Notamacropus eugenii: one gene and its partner. The main gene of each other region encodes a partner of the protein of the gene in region 2 in a complex. Links are inferred from orthologs where the notes say so. Each region holds a gene or a part of one and is shown on either strand. Other genes may lie near its edges. The genes, in order: PPIF and VDAC1.

Region 1 (8,136 bases), about 110 Mb from region 2:
AATTCCTGCTCTGCCCTTTCCTACCTGTATGACATCTGGACAATTCCTTAACCTCTCTGAGCCTCAGTTTCTTCATCTGTAAAATGTGGGGGTTAGATCAGATGGCTTCTGGGATCCCTTCCAACTCTGACAGTCTATGATTCTACTAACTTGGAATTATTATTGTTGTAAACAGGGCCTTGTAGTAGCTAGGTAACAGGGATGCAAAGATGGAGGAAAATTATAAGGTCTCTTCCCTCAAAGAGGTCACTGAGGGGGAAAAGGCTTTGCCTCCATGGAAACTTCAGACTGATGGGAATGATAGTCTGACCTAGAAAGACCTAATTCTAGTCCAGGACTGGATTAATCCATATTCTCTCCCCACTACCATCTCAGGTTCTTTTATACCTGAACCAAACAAACCTGACCTGGGTTGAATACCACTTTGGACATTTAGTTATAGCGTGAAAGCTGTCATCAACATCAAGTTACAACCTCTCTGCCTTCACTTTCCTAACGGTAAAAGGGGCATAATAACGGCATTAACATCATAGGGTGGTTAAGGGTCAGGTCTATAAAGAGCTTGGGTAAAATTTTAAACACAATTTGGGAGCTACAATTCATATTATTTTCCTTAATGGTATGAACTAGCACCAAAAAGATAAGTGTATATTACTGAGAGAGACACCACACCGGCATCCACTTTCTGGATGCCACCAAAGCTGTTTTTCAAGGGACCCTTAACTGGTTAGGGTCTTTAACATGAGGGGAGGGAAAGGAAGGCCAGGCGATAAGGGCAGAAGTGCTTCAAGTTCATTTGCCCAGGACTGATTGTCATAGGAGGAACAGGGGGTGGAATCCTTGACCAAGAGCTTTCCTTCAGCCCAAAGTAACCTCTACCCACTCCCCCACTCCTGCACCACACCTGGACCACTCCATCAGGCCTTACAGTGAGAGAGGAGGATAATTCACAATGCAGTCAGGCCCTGCTTCTCTCACTTACTAGCTGTATGACCTTGAGCAAGTAACTTAAATTTCTCTTCCAGTTTCCTCATCTATAAAATGCAGTAACAATGCCTGCACTGCCTACTTCACACAACTGTTGTAAGAAAAATCCTTTATAAGCTTCAAAACCCTATAAAAATGGGATTTTTTTCTATAGTATTCTAAGCTGCAAAGCTCTATAAACATGTAAGTTTATCATCTTTCCAACACTTCCACACTTGACGATTATCTTATACAACCAGCTTACAGGTTCCTGAAAGGCAAAAATTAGAATAATAATAGCTTTTATAGAAATAAAAACTAACATTTATACAAATCTTACTATATGCCAGGCACTGTGCTAAACTCTTTATAAGTATTATTTCACTGATTTTCACAACAGCCCTGGGAGGTAGGTGCTGTTATTATCCTCGTTTTATAGTTGAGGAAACTGAGACAAACAGAGGTTAAATGACTTGCCCAAGATCATTCATTATGTCTTTTCTTCTTATAGGTTCTCAAGATGTCTAGCACCAGGGCTGAGCTCACAATAAGAGAACCCCAATTTTAAGGCCAGAAGCTATTTTACTAATCTTCTAACAGATCCTTCACATTTTATAAGATGAGAAAATTGAGGTTGAGCACAGGAAAAGCGATTTGTGCCAGGTCAGAAAGCAAGTTAGTGGCTCCTGACTCCTAGTCATCCTCCACATTTGTGTACCGGCTTGAAACCTTTTCTAAATCTACTAATACTCACAACAATCCTGTGAAGCAGGTGCATAAATATGTCCAATTTACAGACAAGGAAACTGAGGGATGCCCAGAGGTTTACATCAGACCTGATGGAGCATTCAACAACTATTTGTTGGATTAAAAGGCTACTTGATTCAGGGTCATGATGACCACTTTGGGTGGCAACCTTTGAGGAAAGGCCCTGCCAGCTCCTATTCACACAAGCCTAGGACAACTACTGCCATGCCTTGGCTCCAGGTTATCACTGGCTGTCCAAGTCATCTGAGGGCGGGTGGCTAGAGAAAGCAAGGAGCCTCTGAGCACACAAAAAACAAGAGTCCTAGGCAAGCCTAGCTCCAACTAGTAGAATCAATAGAAGACAAGGATCTCATTCAGCATTTTGCCAGCACAGGACACTGCTTAGTTCTCCCTGCTCAACGGAGCTCTATGCCTTCTCTCATACACCCTTCATCCACCAGCTTCCCCCACATTGCTGAATGGAAAATCAAACTGTAAAGTCACTGAGGCAAAGGAATGTGCCCTATCTATCTCTACTTCTGTATGTCTCTCAGTGCCTGACTCAATCCTAATTAATCAAATAAATCTGCAAGAGGCCATAGGCTATAATGAAAAGGGTCCCGGGCTTTAGTTAAGGAAACTGGGGATCAAATCCCACCTCGAACATTTACTGGCTGTGAGGCAGGGTCTCAAGATTCTCAACTATGGGGATCATTAGAGGTACTACTAGCTACTTCACAAAGTTGTAGTGAGGGAAGCACTTGATACATTGTAAAAACTTATATAAAAGTGAGTTATTATTACTATTATATGGAATGAGCTAAGTGAGGATGGCTAGTCTCAAACCTCCAGGACTCGAAATTCCAGGGCTTTATGGGGATGGAGTTGCGGACTCCAAAACCCACACAAGCAAACACTTATGCAAATAGTTGCTGGGGCCACGTGACCCTCGGTGGTTTGCTTTTTTTTTCCCTCCCCAACCTAGGAGCCAAGAATTCTGAATCCTCTCCCCAACCCCCAAAGCCAGAGCTCCTCTCCCGCTCCCTTGGAAGGGCAATTAGGCTGCCTAGGGCGGGGATTCCTGATAACAGCTCTACCCAGCAGTTCTTCATTTTGACCTTTCCCGTTCACCTCTGCCCCCTAGTCCCCCAATCCTTATACAGTGGGGCCAGACCTGCTGGCCCTTGACTTCTCCGGGGATGACCTTGAACTAATTTTCCCAATGTTTCTCTCCCTCCACTCCCGGGGAGAGAGGAGCAAGGCTTCCCAACTCCCCCACCCCTGCCTCTGAAAACTTAAAATTCATAAAGTTGGGGGGGGGGGGTGACCGCTGGAAGACAGACCACTTCTCCAATCTCATCAGTTTCCTCATTTCTGATACGAGGCCCGGAGTGATTGACAGACTCGTTTAAGGCAGATGCCAAACCCGCGGTCCAAGCGCCTTCCCACGACTCTCCGCGTGAAGGGTCCGAGAAGCTGCCCGGACGGTGCCCCCCCTCCCTCCGGGACCATCCCCCCAATCAGAGGGCCAGCGCCAGGCCCCGCCCCCTCCGCCCATGACCTTGAGCTGGGGCCGGCCCGGCGCAGCCCAGCGCGGCTCTGCACCCACCTCCAGCACCACCCGGCCGAGCGGCTGCTCCTCGGCGCCCACGTCCAGGTAGACGAGCGGGTTCTTGGCGGCCCCGCCGGGCCCCGAGTCGGAGCTGCTGGCGCTGCTACGGGCGCCGCGGAGCCGGGCGAGCGTGGGGGCCGCGGAGATCCGCCGCGGGGCCAGGCCCAGGCTCAGCAGGCGGGGGCCGGCGCGCAGGGCCAGCATCGCGGACCGAGGCGCACGGAAGGCAGGAGAAGCGGGGAACGGAGAGCGTGCGCACGGACCGAGGGGCGCCCGCTGCGTCCTGAAGCGCGAAAGGAACGCCCGCCCCTCCGCACTCGGGCTTTTAACCCCGCGGCGGCCCCGCCCCTGGGCGTGGGCATGGAGGCTGGAGGCTGGGCACACCTACCAGCCTGCCCGCGGTGACTTCCTCCAGCCGGGCCTGGGGCACCTGCCCTGGCTTTCCCATCCAGGGCTTTTGTTGGGCACGGGAGGGGGACTTCCCCTAGGATTGCCTCATCTGTGCGCAGGGAACTTCCGAATGAGCAAACTCCCTTCACCAATGCGAGTGGGCACTTTCTGTGCAGTTTACACTCAACACAGGTGCCTACTGTGATAACACAGGTGCCTACAGTGATAACACAGGGTCACAAAAACACTATCAGAGGCTGCGCTGGAGTCCAGGTGTTGCCCCGAGGTGAACACTGTCCTCCTGGCTGTTCTACGAACAAGACCCTCCACCTCTCAGCTCTCTACCATGCCTGGAATAGCTCTCCTTCCTCCACTCTGACTACTGACCCCTCGGCTTCCATTAAGTACCAATTAAAATCCTATCTTTTGTTGGAAGCCTTTCTCATCCCCTCTAATTCTAGTGCATTCCCCCTATGGTTTCCTATTTATCATAAATATAGTTATTGTAATCGTTAAGTCGTTTTAGCCCTGTCCAACTCTTCATTTTGGGCTTTCTTGGCAAAGATACTGGAGTGGTTTGTCATTTCCTTCTCCATCTCATTTTACAGACGAGGAAACAGAGGCAGATAGGGTTAAGTGACTTGCCCAGGGCCACACAGCAGGTAAGTATCTGAAGCCAGACTCATACTCCTCAACAGGAGTCTTCCCGACTCCAGACCCAGTACTCTATCCACTGCTATCACCTAGCTGCTTGAATACAGCTTGCATCATATAAATTTGTTTGCATATTTTCTCTCCCATTTTGTTATAAACTCTTTGAGGGTTAGAACTGTCTTTTTTCTCTTTTTTTAATCCCTTGGCACATAGTATACACTTAATAAATATTTATTGAATTGAATTGAAATTGATTAATTGATTCCTGATTCCAAAGACAGCTTTCTATCCACTGGCATACAGTGTGTTGACCTGGAAGTTTGGTTAAAAAAAGACAAACAGGCTAAATGCATATTGTGTGTTCCCTTAAAGCTAGCAGTTACATGATCATGGAGCCAGAAAAACTTCTGGCTGACTAATACAAGAATGATCAGGCTCAAATCTGTTTTAGGACAATCCAAGATTGTCTGTGTCCTTCAGATTTGTGGTCTGTATGAATGATTAACTATACCACGAGAAAGGAATTTCTTAATTGCATAGGTTGTAAATATAATAAGATAACAGAGATGACAAGGTTTCTATTGAAATCACGACCTGAGGGATCTGTGTTTTCTTTACCATTAACATTCCATGACATAGTATATGTCCCCAAGATATTAAGATATGGAAAAAGTCCCATCATTCAAGATAGTGTCTAGGGTTAAGGGCCTCCTAAGGAATGCTAAGTCAGCCCCATCTGGCTTTGTTAACATAGGAAGAGGTATTCTCTGAGTTTACTTCAGAGAACAAAGAGACTGTTAGATCCAGGCTCTTCTTCTAATTGATTAATTCAAGCTCTGGCCCTTATTAAAGTCCAAAACTTATATTATATGATTATCAAGCGATAACATATTGTCTTGGTGTTGCTGATGAGAAAACTGAGGGTGGGACAGATGAAGTGGTCTTCCAGGAACTGAGAAATCCCCTGAGGCTTGATGGGATCATCTTTCTCTCCCATTCTCTGAACTGTTGGAGATAGGTAAGAAGTTTTCTCACTCTTTTTTTAGACAAAAGGCTCTCAAGTTTTGGCTCCTATGTCAGGAAATAGAGTTAGTTGCAAGAAGACAGGGACAGAGACCTATCAGGAGAGTGAAAGACAAAAATACATAGTGATGCAGAGAACCTCAGACAGGTGGGGGGAAATGGGAACTCTTTGCTTTGTCCTTCTCAGATGCTGTTATATGTTATAGTTATCTAAGAATATTCTCCTCTTGGATTGCAAAGCTTCTGCCGTGAGGGCAGAGATTGTGTCACTTAAATTTCAGTTTGGAAGCCCTTGATACTTTTCCCAGTTTCAGTATGGCTGACTTGTGTAATCATTTATGCATCTTACCACCAAAGTCATCTAGTTCAACATTGTTACCAAGTCATTCAAGTAACCTAATAGCAAAAGCTTTTAATTAAGATACAAAATCAGTGTAACTAATAAGGAAATAATTAAACAATGGGGTCATTCTCTGCTACCCATATACAACTGAGCTTAATATCTTTGTCATCCAAAGTAATGGATATGGAAGAAAACCTCTTAGGGAAAATGGATGAAGAAGTAAAGAAACCTTATCATTGCTCTCTCAATGACCTCCAAGGAAATCTGCTAATCTATACCGGAAGGCTAGAATTTGCCAAAACCTCTCAGCTGTGGAGTCATTAGGTTCTGCCAGGATCTTGGCTTAGGGACACCTTGGTAGTACCTCAGCGCCCTCAGTAGGACTGCATAGATCACAGCCTTCAGCTTTCCTGTCCATCAAATCACCTAGTTTCAGACTCTAAACAAGCTTTTCTTTTTTCTTAAGTCTCCCCTTCTGTTTTCTTCATTTTCCAAGTTTGTGCTTCATCATGCAATCCGTGAGTCCAGGAGCCCCAAACTTTCTTGAATGGACCACAGGGCTCTGCCTTCTGAAGCTGGAGCCCTATCCCCTGCCTCATTTAAACTCCAACCTTCATAGGGTTGATGTGGAGAAGGTACCTTGTGAACCTTAAAACACCCTATAAATGTGAGCTTTAAAATCATTCTTATTAGTAATAATTAAAAATCAGTGTGAAGTGAGTGCTAAATGATATGGTTTCTATTCTCCATTTATTTTCCCAAACCCTATTCCTTATGGTGAGTATATAGATTGATTGTATCCACCATGAGTATTTTCCATCCTCTTTCCCCTTTCCAGGGCCCTCCCAGCAATGCTACCAGGTTAAAACCTTCTCATACTGCCCCCAAAAGGAATAGGACTATGGATAATATCAGAGAGACACTGTCCTCCCATCTCTCCACAGCTTAAAGTTCTAAATGGCCAAAAAAAATAATAATAAAAGGAAAGCTACTCCCTGGAAAATTAAAAAAAAATCATCAGGACTTTAGAGACCAAGTCCCTCATTTTACAGAATGGGAAATGGAGGCCAAAGAGGGGAAGTCATTTGTCTACGGTCCCTCAAATGGTTAGTTGCTGAGCTGTTACTGAGACCCAGGCTTTGCCATCATCTGTATCTCTCAAGGCAGACCAAACCTGGGACAGACAGCAAGTGCCTTCTCTCGCTGACAGAGAGATGGGAGGTTCAAGGGCAGCCATGCAGATAGCGGAGGAAAGATTTCTCCAATGAGGGGATACTCAAATATTGTATTCCTTCAGTAGAATATATACTCTTTGAGGAAAGATGAAGTAAAGTCCTAAGTATGAAATACTTAGAACGGGACATGTCAGCACTCAATAAATACTTGCTGCTCGGTTTATAGGCTTTAACACATGTATCCCATTGAACTGAATTGTATCTAGTCCTGCTGACATCTGTGATGCAAGAATTCTTTCTGAAAACATTGCCCCCAAGTCTAGATGGTCATCAGTATGTTCAACTGTTTCCCCTCATGTGGATCTGAAAGGCTCTCCCCTTTTTTCCAAATAAGATATGAGCCACTGGAGCTGCCCAGAACAGGGGTGATGACTGTGTGTCTCTTCCCTGTGACAGCCCCTGTTTGACAACTCTGTCTCCTTTTCTCCATGCTAAGCATGTTCCTTCGACCATTTTTACAAGATGCATTTCCCAGAAACTTTTCTATGCTGGAAAGAGTAGAAAAGAGCCTTAGCTCTGGAGACAGAAAACCTGGCTTTGAATATCAGCCCTGCTCCTTCAATACTAGGGGAATGACCCTGGTTGTTAATTAGTCTGTCTTTCATCACCTTCCTCCCGGCTTTGGAAGTAAGGATCAAAAGAGAATAATGGAAGTCAGGCGTTTTGCAAATAGGAAAGTAACTAGAGGCATTCTAACAGAATGAATGGGAAGAGTTCAGGGAGAACTCCCTGAGTTATTAGCAATGATACCATGAACAAGTCCCTTCATTTCTGCTGGCCTCATCTGTAAAATGGGTGTGATAATGGCATCCAGTTGTGAGCTGGTTCATAAGACCACAGATATGGAGTTGGAGAAGACCCCAGAAGCTGTGTAGTTCACTCCCTTCATTTGGCAGGTAAGTGACTTGCCCAAGATTACATTTTTAAAATGTCTAGAATATATATCCTATAAAAATGTGGCTGAAGGAATATTTAACAAGGAGAAAAGAAGACCTAGTTGTTTCCAAACAGGGTGGTCATGGGGAAAAAGCATTTGTTACACCTGTTTGGGGCAGCCCTAGAGGGAAGAAGGAGAACCAGTGGGTCAAACTTACAGAGGAAAGAATTTTAGTTCAAGATAAAGAAAAACTTTAACTATTAACTCATATTGATGATCATTCTCTAGT
Region 2 (8,441 bases):
GCTCAAGGGCCAAATGCACCTGCAGGATTACCTATTTTTGTACAGCCAGCAAGTTAAGAATTGTTTTTACATTTTAAAATTCAATAAAACTTTATAATGTGAAAACAATTCTTAGCCCACAGCTGCACATAAACAAGCAGGAGTCATATTTCGCAGTGCTGATCTGTGGATTTTTAAGCTGGAATCTATTTTAAAAAATTGTTTTAATATACTTGGATAACTGTTTTCAGTAGAATTAGTTTCTTTTGTAATCCTATGTATTCTATTTCATTCATTTAAAAACATTATTCTGAAAAGGGACCCCTAGACTTCACCAAACTGCATGGGCATCCATGACAAAAAAAAATTAAGAATCCATGGTCTCCAGTTCAACTCCAATATTTTACAAGGAAGGAAACTAAAGCTCAGAGATGGCAATGATCTGGCCAACTTCACAATGTGAGTTATTGACATTTCTGTTAGTATGAAGCTCTAATTAGCTTCAGCCTTCTTTACCTATAAAATACGGACAACTAACCACTTTAGACAAAAATGTGAGCCAAGTCACTTTCTGTACTCACATTTTCAACGAAAGCCCACAAGTCAGGATGGCCAATCATTCAAAGTGATTTTCAAGTTGGTACCATTCATTCTTTTGCTTAACACATTTATAAGCCTACAGTGGACTTTTTGGGAAGAAACTCTTATGAAGATATGCCTTTCCTGCCTACAAAGAGGTGGTCAGGGGAAATTGCAAATATCTGATAATTCACTGGTTTGATGCCCTCCATTCTGATTTGTCACTTGGATGTGGAATTGCGGGAAGAATACAGAGGGTGATGCTGATGATGAAGCATCTTCTCCAACAGTCACCAAAGAGCAAAATGAGGCTTTGCACAAGTTTTACAAGATTCTATCAAAATTATAGGATCATAACATTCAAATACAGTTCTGATTAGACACTGAGAGCATTTTTAGAAAAGATTTAAGTTAGTAACACAGTAAAGCAAAAAATGCATTAACTGGCACTTAGAAGACCAGATTCCTAGTCTTGGCTCTGCTGCAAACTTGCTATGAGATTTGGGGCAAATTGCTTACCCTCTACATGCAGAGGAAACAATAATATGCTATGTAACAGGATTAAGGAAAAGATAAAATAAAAAAAAGAAATAAAGACAAAGGAATTTTGAAAACCTGGATGCTCAGTTTTTGGATGACTCAGTCGAAAGTTGCTAGGCCATCCAGGGGGAGGCTGAAAGATTTCCAAGTGTACACGAGTGGGCTAAAACAAACTCACTAGCCTTTTGCAAGTATCATCAGTTCCCCAATCTTGGCTGGGGCCTGTGAAAGTCAGGGGAATTGGTGTTTCACTTTGTTTAAAGAGACAATGTCATGATGGGGGAAAAAATATGTAATCTATTCTTGAACAGAACTTTGGTTCTTGGCATCTCATTCAGGAATGCATACTTAATCTTTGTTAACTATAATATTATTAGCTCAGAGCTAAGCAATGGGTTAGGAACTGACCCACTCACAACCAAAGGCTCATCTAAGAGAAACTGGTGCATCATGGATCCTGCCAAGTCGTCAAAAATTGTGAGGAGGGATGTGTATCACTACATCACTAACACTAAAATATAAGGAGGTATTCAGAGTCATGAGGTATCAGAGTAGAAAAAGACCTTAAATATCACAAAGTCCAACGCCCTGGCTGAGGTCCAGAGAGGGGACTTATTCAAGGTCATAAAGTGAGCTAGTGACAGAGCCCAGACTAATTTAAGGCAGGCAGATTTTTTTAAAAAGTTTCTGACCACACCCACCAATATGTAAATGACTTTGACCAAGCAATAATTAATTTTCAATTTCCCATGGAAAGTATATTTGGGATAAAGAGGAGACCAGAAGTATTTTTCTAAGTGCACAAGACACTCATTCACACACCCTCCTCCTATCCTTTTCTTTCTTGCATTAGTTATTTGTGCAAACCTCTTTTCCCCTTTAGATTGGAGAGAGAAGAGAAGGGAGCGACCATGGTTAAGACTCCCTCATGGAGACACCAAATGACTTTTAAAAATGTATTTCAAAGGACTTTTGGGGGCTTTTAGCAATTCTAACAGCTGCAGCCAGCAGATCTGAGCTATTTCTTCCAGCCACCCAGCAGTTATCACTCTAATAGGTTATCCTCATTAAGCTGGGGGGAGAGGGGGCGGGGAGAATGTGGTTTCGAGTAGAGTCATTTCCCCTTGAACATTTATTTCTCACTCCTCTAATTATTCACCTCAGTGAATGGCCGAGGTTAATAGCAACTATGTAACTAATTCACAAATCTAGAAAATGCTAGAATATTTATTTGAGCAAATCTTCCCTGATAATTCTAGGGACGTGTTTCACAGAAGAACAATCACGTTAGGCACAAGGAAAACAAGATTTCGATAATGCAAATATCCCGGCACAGGGAGCCAGGAGACTCAAGCTGGAGACTCCGTCTCGCTCAGAACAGTGTGACCTTGGGCCAATTCTTTTTCCTTCTTGGGTCTCAGTTTCATCATCTGGGACCAAAATGGGGATTAAAACCCATTATCTCTAGGATCCCTTCTCTTCCTAACACAGAATAATTTGCGAGCGAAGGTATTTCTGTTTCCACAAAGGTAGAATTGCACCCGGTCTCACCGTAGGCCATGTGGCCTGCTGTCTGTGTGGCTGGGCCGCTGTCAAGGGCCGCTGCTATCCAGGGACAGTCTTCGAGAAAGCAGCGCCAACCAAACACCAATTAACCCTGTGGGCATGTTTTAATAGAAGGCCAAAAAGTGGGCGACAGTGCGAAGTCAAAGTGGGGAGACTAGGGGTCTCTATCCACCGGGTGAGGCCCGGGTGGAAGCCAGGCGCAGGTGGAGTTTGGGTGCCCGCGGCTGGGGATGTGCACTAGAGAGGGAAGCCAAGGCGGTGAGAGTGCGGGGGTCCAGGGGCTGCCTCCGGCCCGACCGGCAACACGGTCCGCACACGCGGCCCCGCAGCTCCCGGCCGGGAAGGTCACGTCCCCAGCAGCGCTGCGTGGCGCTGCGCCCGGGCCTGCCAGCTTCCCTCCCCAGCGCAGGCCCCTAGCCCGCGCAGCCCCAGGCAGGGTCTCGGGGAGCACGGGCGCGAGGCTGAGGGGGCCAAAAAGCGGGGCGCCAGCAGGGCCCCCCCTACCCCGGGCCAGGGCTCCCAAGAGGGCAGCGGTGACAGTGCAGCGCGGTCAGTCCGGTTCGGCCACCGCAGCCCCACTCATTCGGCGCGCCCCCACATCCCGGCCGGGTCGGGTTGGGTTGTGCCCTGCTAGGCTGCGCCCGAGGGCCCCCGCCCCAGACCTCAGGGTCAGGCTCTAGGCCAGGTCGCCCGGGCAGTGGCCAGGGTAGGCGCAGCAGCAGCTCCGCACGAAATCAAGCAGCCTCCGCCGATCTGTGCCCCAGCCTTGACGCCTCCGGGGCACAGAAGGGAAGCTGGGGGGATAGAGGGCTTTTTGGGGGGGGGGGTCCCTACCTTCCTCTCCCGGCGAACGCAGCGGGAGCAGCAGAGGGCGGCGGACACAGAGGCAAAGGGGCGGCAGAGGCTGCGGGGGAGCGGGGCGGGGCGCGGAGCACGGCGGCGGCGCGAGCCCGCCCCCGGGTGCGGGCTCCTCCGGGCTCCGAGTCAATCTCCTCCCCTTCTTCCATTTTTCCTTTCCCGCCTCCCTCCGCTGCTCTTGTCCCCACCCTTGCTTCCCTTCCCCCTCTCCCTGTCCTTCCCCCCTCCCAGTTTCCTTTCTCCATCTGTCTCCTGCCTCTTGTGGCTTGTTTAGAATGGCTGCTTTCGACGTGTATGCACTTCTGTGTCTGCCCTTGAACCTATGGGCTCTTCTGCTCTGCTCCCATTTCCACAGCACTTTGCATTTTACAGAGGACTTTCCTTACAACTCCATGTGGTAGACAGGCAAGGATTATTATCCTCCATTTTATAGATTAAGCTCAGAGAAGTTAGTTAGAAGTCTTGCCTAAGGTTTTAAAGCTAGTGAGTGGCGGAGCCTTTTTTTCCAATCCAATTCTCCGATCAAGTATCCTTCAGTCCAAAAGCTCTTTCTACCACTCCGAACTGCCTCTATTAGTAAGCAACATACTTTATCCTAGGTCCACAATTTTAGATCTAAAAGAAATCAGTCACACTTAATAAACAGAGAAAAAGCAGTAGGTTGAAAATCACTATTCAAATCTGAACTGTTATTTGCTTACCTGTATGACTTTGCACAAATCACTAATCCTCACTGGACCTCAGTTTCAACGTGGTTGAAAATGGAGATTCAGCCTAGATGACACCTAAGGTTCTTTCTAGCTCTAAATCTGAGCTCAGTTCTCCCAGGAACCTCTCAGGATTCTGAGCCACAAGCCTAATTCTTGATCTCTCCTGTTTGTTTTGTTCTTTGACAATTTCATGTTCCACCTTTGGAAACCAAATTAAGTTGTGCTAGGGTTGGCATATCTGAGGACAGACAAAATAACCATAAATGTGGCCAATCACAATTGGTCACATATACCATATGTGACCATATACTTTTGCCCTGTGCTTCACCAGGTGCTGACTTGACATACCCTGTGACTAAGGGGCTATTTGGGTTCCTTATCTTGTAGTTCCAAGAACTAGACTCTTCATAACTTAGGAGGGGTTGGCGTCATTGAAAAATCACTGAGATTGAGCCAGAAACCATGGCTCTGCCTTTGGGCTCCAATCTGAGACAAGATCAATGAACCCTTCTTTGCCTTGTAAAAACCTATTGAGACTGCAGGTTCTGAACATCAGTAATCATGTCCCAGGACTTAAGATATATATGTAGAAAGTACAGGGATAACAACAGTAATAATAACTGACATTTTATATTTCCTTATTGTACTGGTAGTGAAGGTGGGAGGGGGAAATAACCCAAGAATCTAGGACAACTTGGAATGAATCACAGAAGCATCTAAATGCTCCATTTTATCTAACAGAATTACACAGAGAATATCTCTACAATGTATCTTCTATCTCTAACGCAAGAGGTAGAAATAGTATCTCTTCTTTGCTATCACAAAGATTAAATTATAATGTTTCTTGTTTCTATCCTGGCTCCCTCTTACTCAAACAATCATAGATCCACAGAATACCAGAACAAGAATGATGATGGGGAAACTGTATCAGTAAGCACCGAAATATATACAGTGGGGCCTGCTACCACAGGTTCTTTGATCTGCTTCTCTAAAGGGAAAGGCAACCTTTGAGGGGTTAACAATCATTTTAATCAAGCAAATGTATCATTCAGTTAGTTCAGGAGAAAAAGTCAGCACCTGAACTTCAGAAAAAATACTAAGAAATCAAAAGTCAGCACACATGCTTCTAAAATGTCTGCCCATTAACATATACACATTTTTACCAGAGAGGGAACATCTGGGTTTCTCAAAGCGGGAGGGAGAAGGACTCCTTAGCTGCTTCCCAGAGTCCTCCTCTGGCCAAACAAACACTTCTAGTCAGTAAGCTGCAAAATAAAACCTTACCTTCAGAATATTTATACACACTTTTCAGAGCCAGAGGGCATAACCCGCTGATCCAGTGCCTCAATAGAGAAAACAAAAGGTATTTGGGACCTTCCTACAAAACAACTCCCCTAATCAAGCTTCCCTCTAAGGGCAGGCCCATCAACGGATGAAGAAGATGTTCTTTAATCACATCATTTTAGTAAAATAAAAACAGCAAAAGATCCTAATTTGATTGCCATCACAGAAATTGAGACAATGAGGAGAGAATTAGTTGGGACTAGAACCTAGGTCTCTTGTTTCCTGGTCACTTTTTTTTTTTTTGTAAATAATATTTTGTTTTTTCCAATTGCATGTAAAGATAGTTTTCAACATTCATTTTTGTAAGATTTTAAGTTCCAATTTTGCCTCCCTCCTCTTTCCCTTCTCCCGTCCCCTAAAGAGCAAGCAATCTGATGTAGGTTATCTGTGTGCATTTATGTTAAACCTATTTCCACATTAGTCATGTTTTGAAAGAAGAAACAGAACAAAAAGGAAAAAAGAATCCAAAACCCCACACAAAAGTGAAAATAGTATGCTTCAATCTGCATTCAAACTCCTTAGTTCTTTCTCTGGAGGTAGATAACATTTTCCATTATGAATCTTTTGAAATTGTCTTGGATCATTGTATTGCTGACAAGAGATAATTCTATCAAAGTTAATCATCAAACATCGTTGCTGTAACTATGTACAATATTCTCCTGATTGCTTGCTTTCTTCAGCATCAGTTCAAAGTCTTTCCAGGTTTTCTGAAATCTGCCTGCTCATCATTTCTTATAGCACAGTAGTGTTCTGTTACATTCATGTGCTACAGCCATTCCCCAATTGATGGGCATTCCCCACAATTTCCATTTCTTTGCCACCCAGTCACTCTTAACAGTCAACAGCACAATCTTCATTCTTTGACCTCCAGGCACTGCCTAAAGCTGAAATCAAATTTCTATCTCTTAAAGTGCCATACCATACAGTATGGTATAGCAGTGGAGGTAGTGTGAGAAGACCTGTGTTTGATGCTTACCCTGGACAGTTCTGGACAAATCATTTCCTCTGTCTGGAATTCAGGTTTCTCATCTGTAAAATAGCAATAATTATATTTGCAATGCCTGCCTCATGCCTTGCAGGGTTATTAGAAAAGTGCTTTATATATATTAATGTACCTGTAATGGAGGTAGATTGACCTGGCCACTCCTGATACACACTATGACAAAGAGGGCTTTTTTGAAAAAATGTCATGGACTCTTTATCCATGACTTTTCATTACCTAGACTGACTCTAGCCTAGATCAGTGACCTTGGGCAAGACCCTTCCTTTCTGGGAAATTCTTATTGTTTTAGGATTTGAGAGAATAAGCATATACCTGTATATCAGCTGATGAAGGGTTGGTTTAGACACTCAACTTTAGTGCAAACACTGGATTTGAAGTCAGAAGATCTACATTCTAATCTGGCTTAATACACTCTCTCTCGGCTAGTTTCCTCCATCATCTATAAAAGGATTAGAATAGATTATCTCTTTGGTCATTTCCATCTCCATATCCTATGAACCATGAAATAAATGAGTGCACTATAACTAAATTTTACTACTTTCTGCCCAGACATTGTGGCCTTCTCTCAAACTACTGTACTTTTGCTTAGGCTATTCCTTAACTTAGGAATAGCCTACCTCCTAGTATTTGTCTATTGAATTCCCTACATAAAAAAAAAAACCTCAGAATCAGAGACACTGAATTGAAAGAAACCTCAAAGACCATCCTGACTAAGAATTCTCTCTACAGCATCCCTGACAAGTAATCAACCAATCCCTACTTAAATATTTCTAGTAAAGAAAAGTCTGTCACCCCTGGATCAAACTCCTATACATCGGCAGTCCTCTTAGTCTGCTTTTAAATTGCTCTAATTCTTAGAAATTTAGCGATTTTGTGTTGAGGGCTAGGATGGAGTGCTGTTGGCAAAGTTCAGGATAGAACTTCAGGGAACCTATTCTTTAAGACTGTGCTCATTATCATCCAGAATGGCTCTCCAGGTCCCCCTCCCAAGTTGCTGTCTCTCTGAAATAGTGAGATAAGCAAGAGAACTAGGGAATACAAGGGATATGTAAAATAGATGCCCTCTAGGCTAACATTCTTTAAGGCAATAAGACTGGCCAAGTCACTAGCACAGAGACCAGTAAATTGTCATGTAGACTTGCAGTTTCTGTCTATAAATACCCTGACCCTTGGTTCAATAAATGGAGTTGCCCTATCTTCTCCCGCCTGCCTGCATGTCTTTTTTCTTTACTGCTGTCACCTACCCACATGGGGACGCAGGCTGTCCGCCACAATTTTGTTTTTGTTTTGTTCAACTTAATATATTCAAAATATCTAAATGGATTTATGATAGCATGGAAATTTGGGAGTCTCCTATGAAAATAATGAGGTGCTTGGGTGCATGTACTTGGGCCCCAATTCTAAAATCACCTTTCTCTTTAAAAATCACATTTCTCCCTAGCCTCAAAATACTATCTCAGGCAGTTTCTCCCCAGCACAAGGACACAGTCTGCCCTAGCAACAACCATTATCTCCCTTCCTGCTATAGTAGCCAGCTGCACCTATAGAACTTATTAGTCTGAACCAGCTGTGTACTGGCTGAACAGGCTGTGCACTGGGTCATAACGACATTTACTACTCACTGACCAGTCATATATATCCTAGACTTGGACATACCTATACTCCCTTACATTTGTCTTGTCTAAGAAGACATTGATGAGAACAACCTGGTTTTTCTGAGCTAGCCCTGACTGCTGGTTGACTTAGTGATGTTTCAGGACTAAAACTGCACCTCCAGGTAACTCCTTCTTGGACTATTTCCCGATGAATTCTGGGTAAAATACCTGAGCAGTAGATACCAAAGTGCAAGTTTCTTTAAGAAC

The links.
Region 1: VDAC1 (region 2) and PPIF share a complex: the UniProt entries of both Homo sapiens proteins name them as parts of the mitochondrial permeability transition pore complex. The link is inferred for Notamacropus eugenii from reciprocal best matches to the Homo sapiens genes VDAC1 and PPIF.

What each region holds. Positions count from the first base shown.
Region 1 is NC_092872.1:229,941,052-229,949,187, forward strand, and holds the start of PPIF (peptidyl-prolyl cis-trans isomerase F, mitochondrial), read right to left. Parts: upstream 3,631-8,136; 5' UTR 3,530-3,630; coding exon 3,323-3,529; intron 1-3,322. UniProt on the Homo sapiens protein: PPIase that catalyzes the cis-trans isomerization of proline imidic peptide bonds in oligopeptides and may therefore assist protein folding. Involved in regulation of the mitochondrial permeability transition pore (mPTP).
Region 2 is NC_092872.1:341,432,693-341,441,133, reverse strand, and holds the start of VDAC1 (non-selective voltage-gated ion channel VDAC1), read right to left. Parts: upstream 3,662-8,441; 5' UTR 3,499-3,661; intron 2,756-3,498; exon of another isoform or gene 2,650-2,755; intron 1-2,649. UniProt on the Homo sapiens protein: Non-selective voltage-gated ion channel that mediates the transport of anions and cations through the mitochondrion outer membrane and plasma membrane.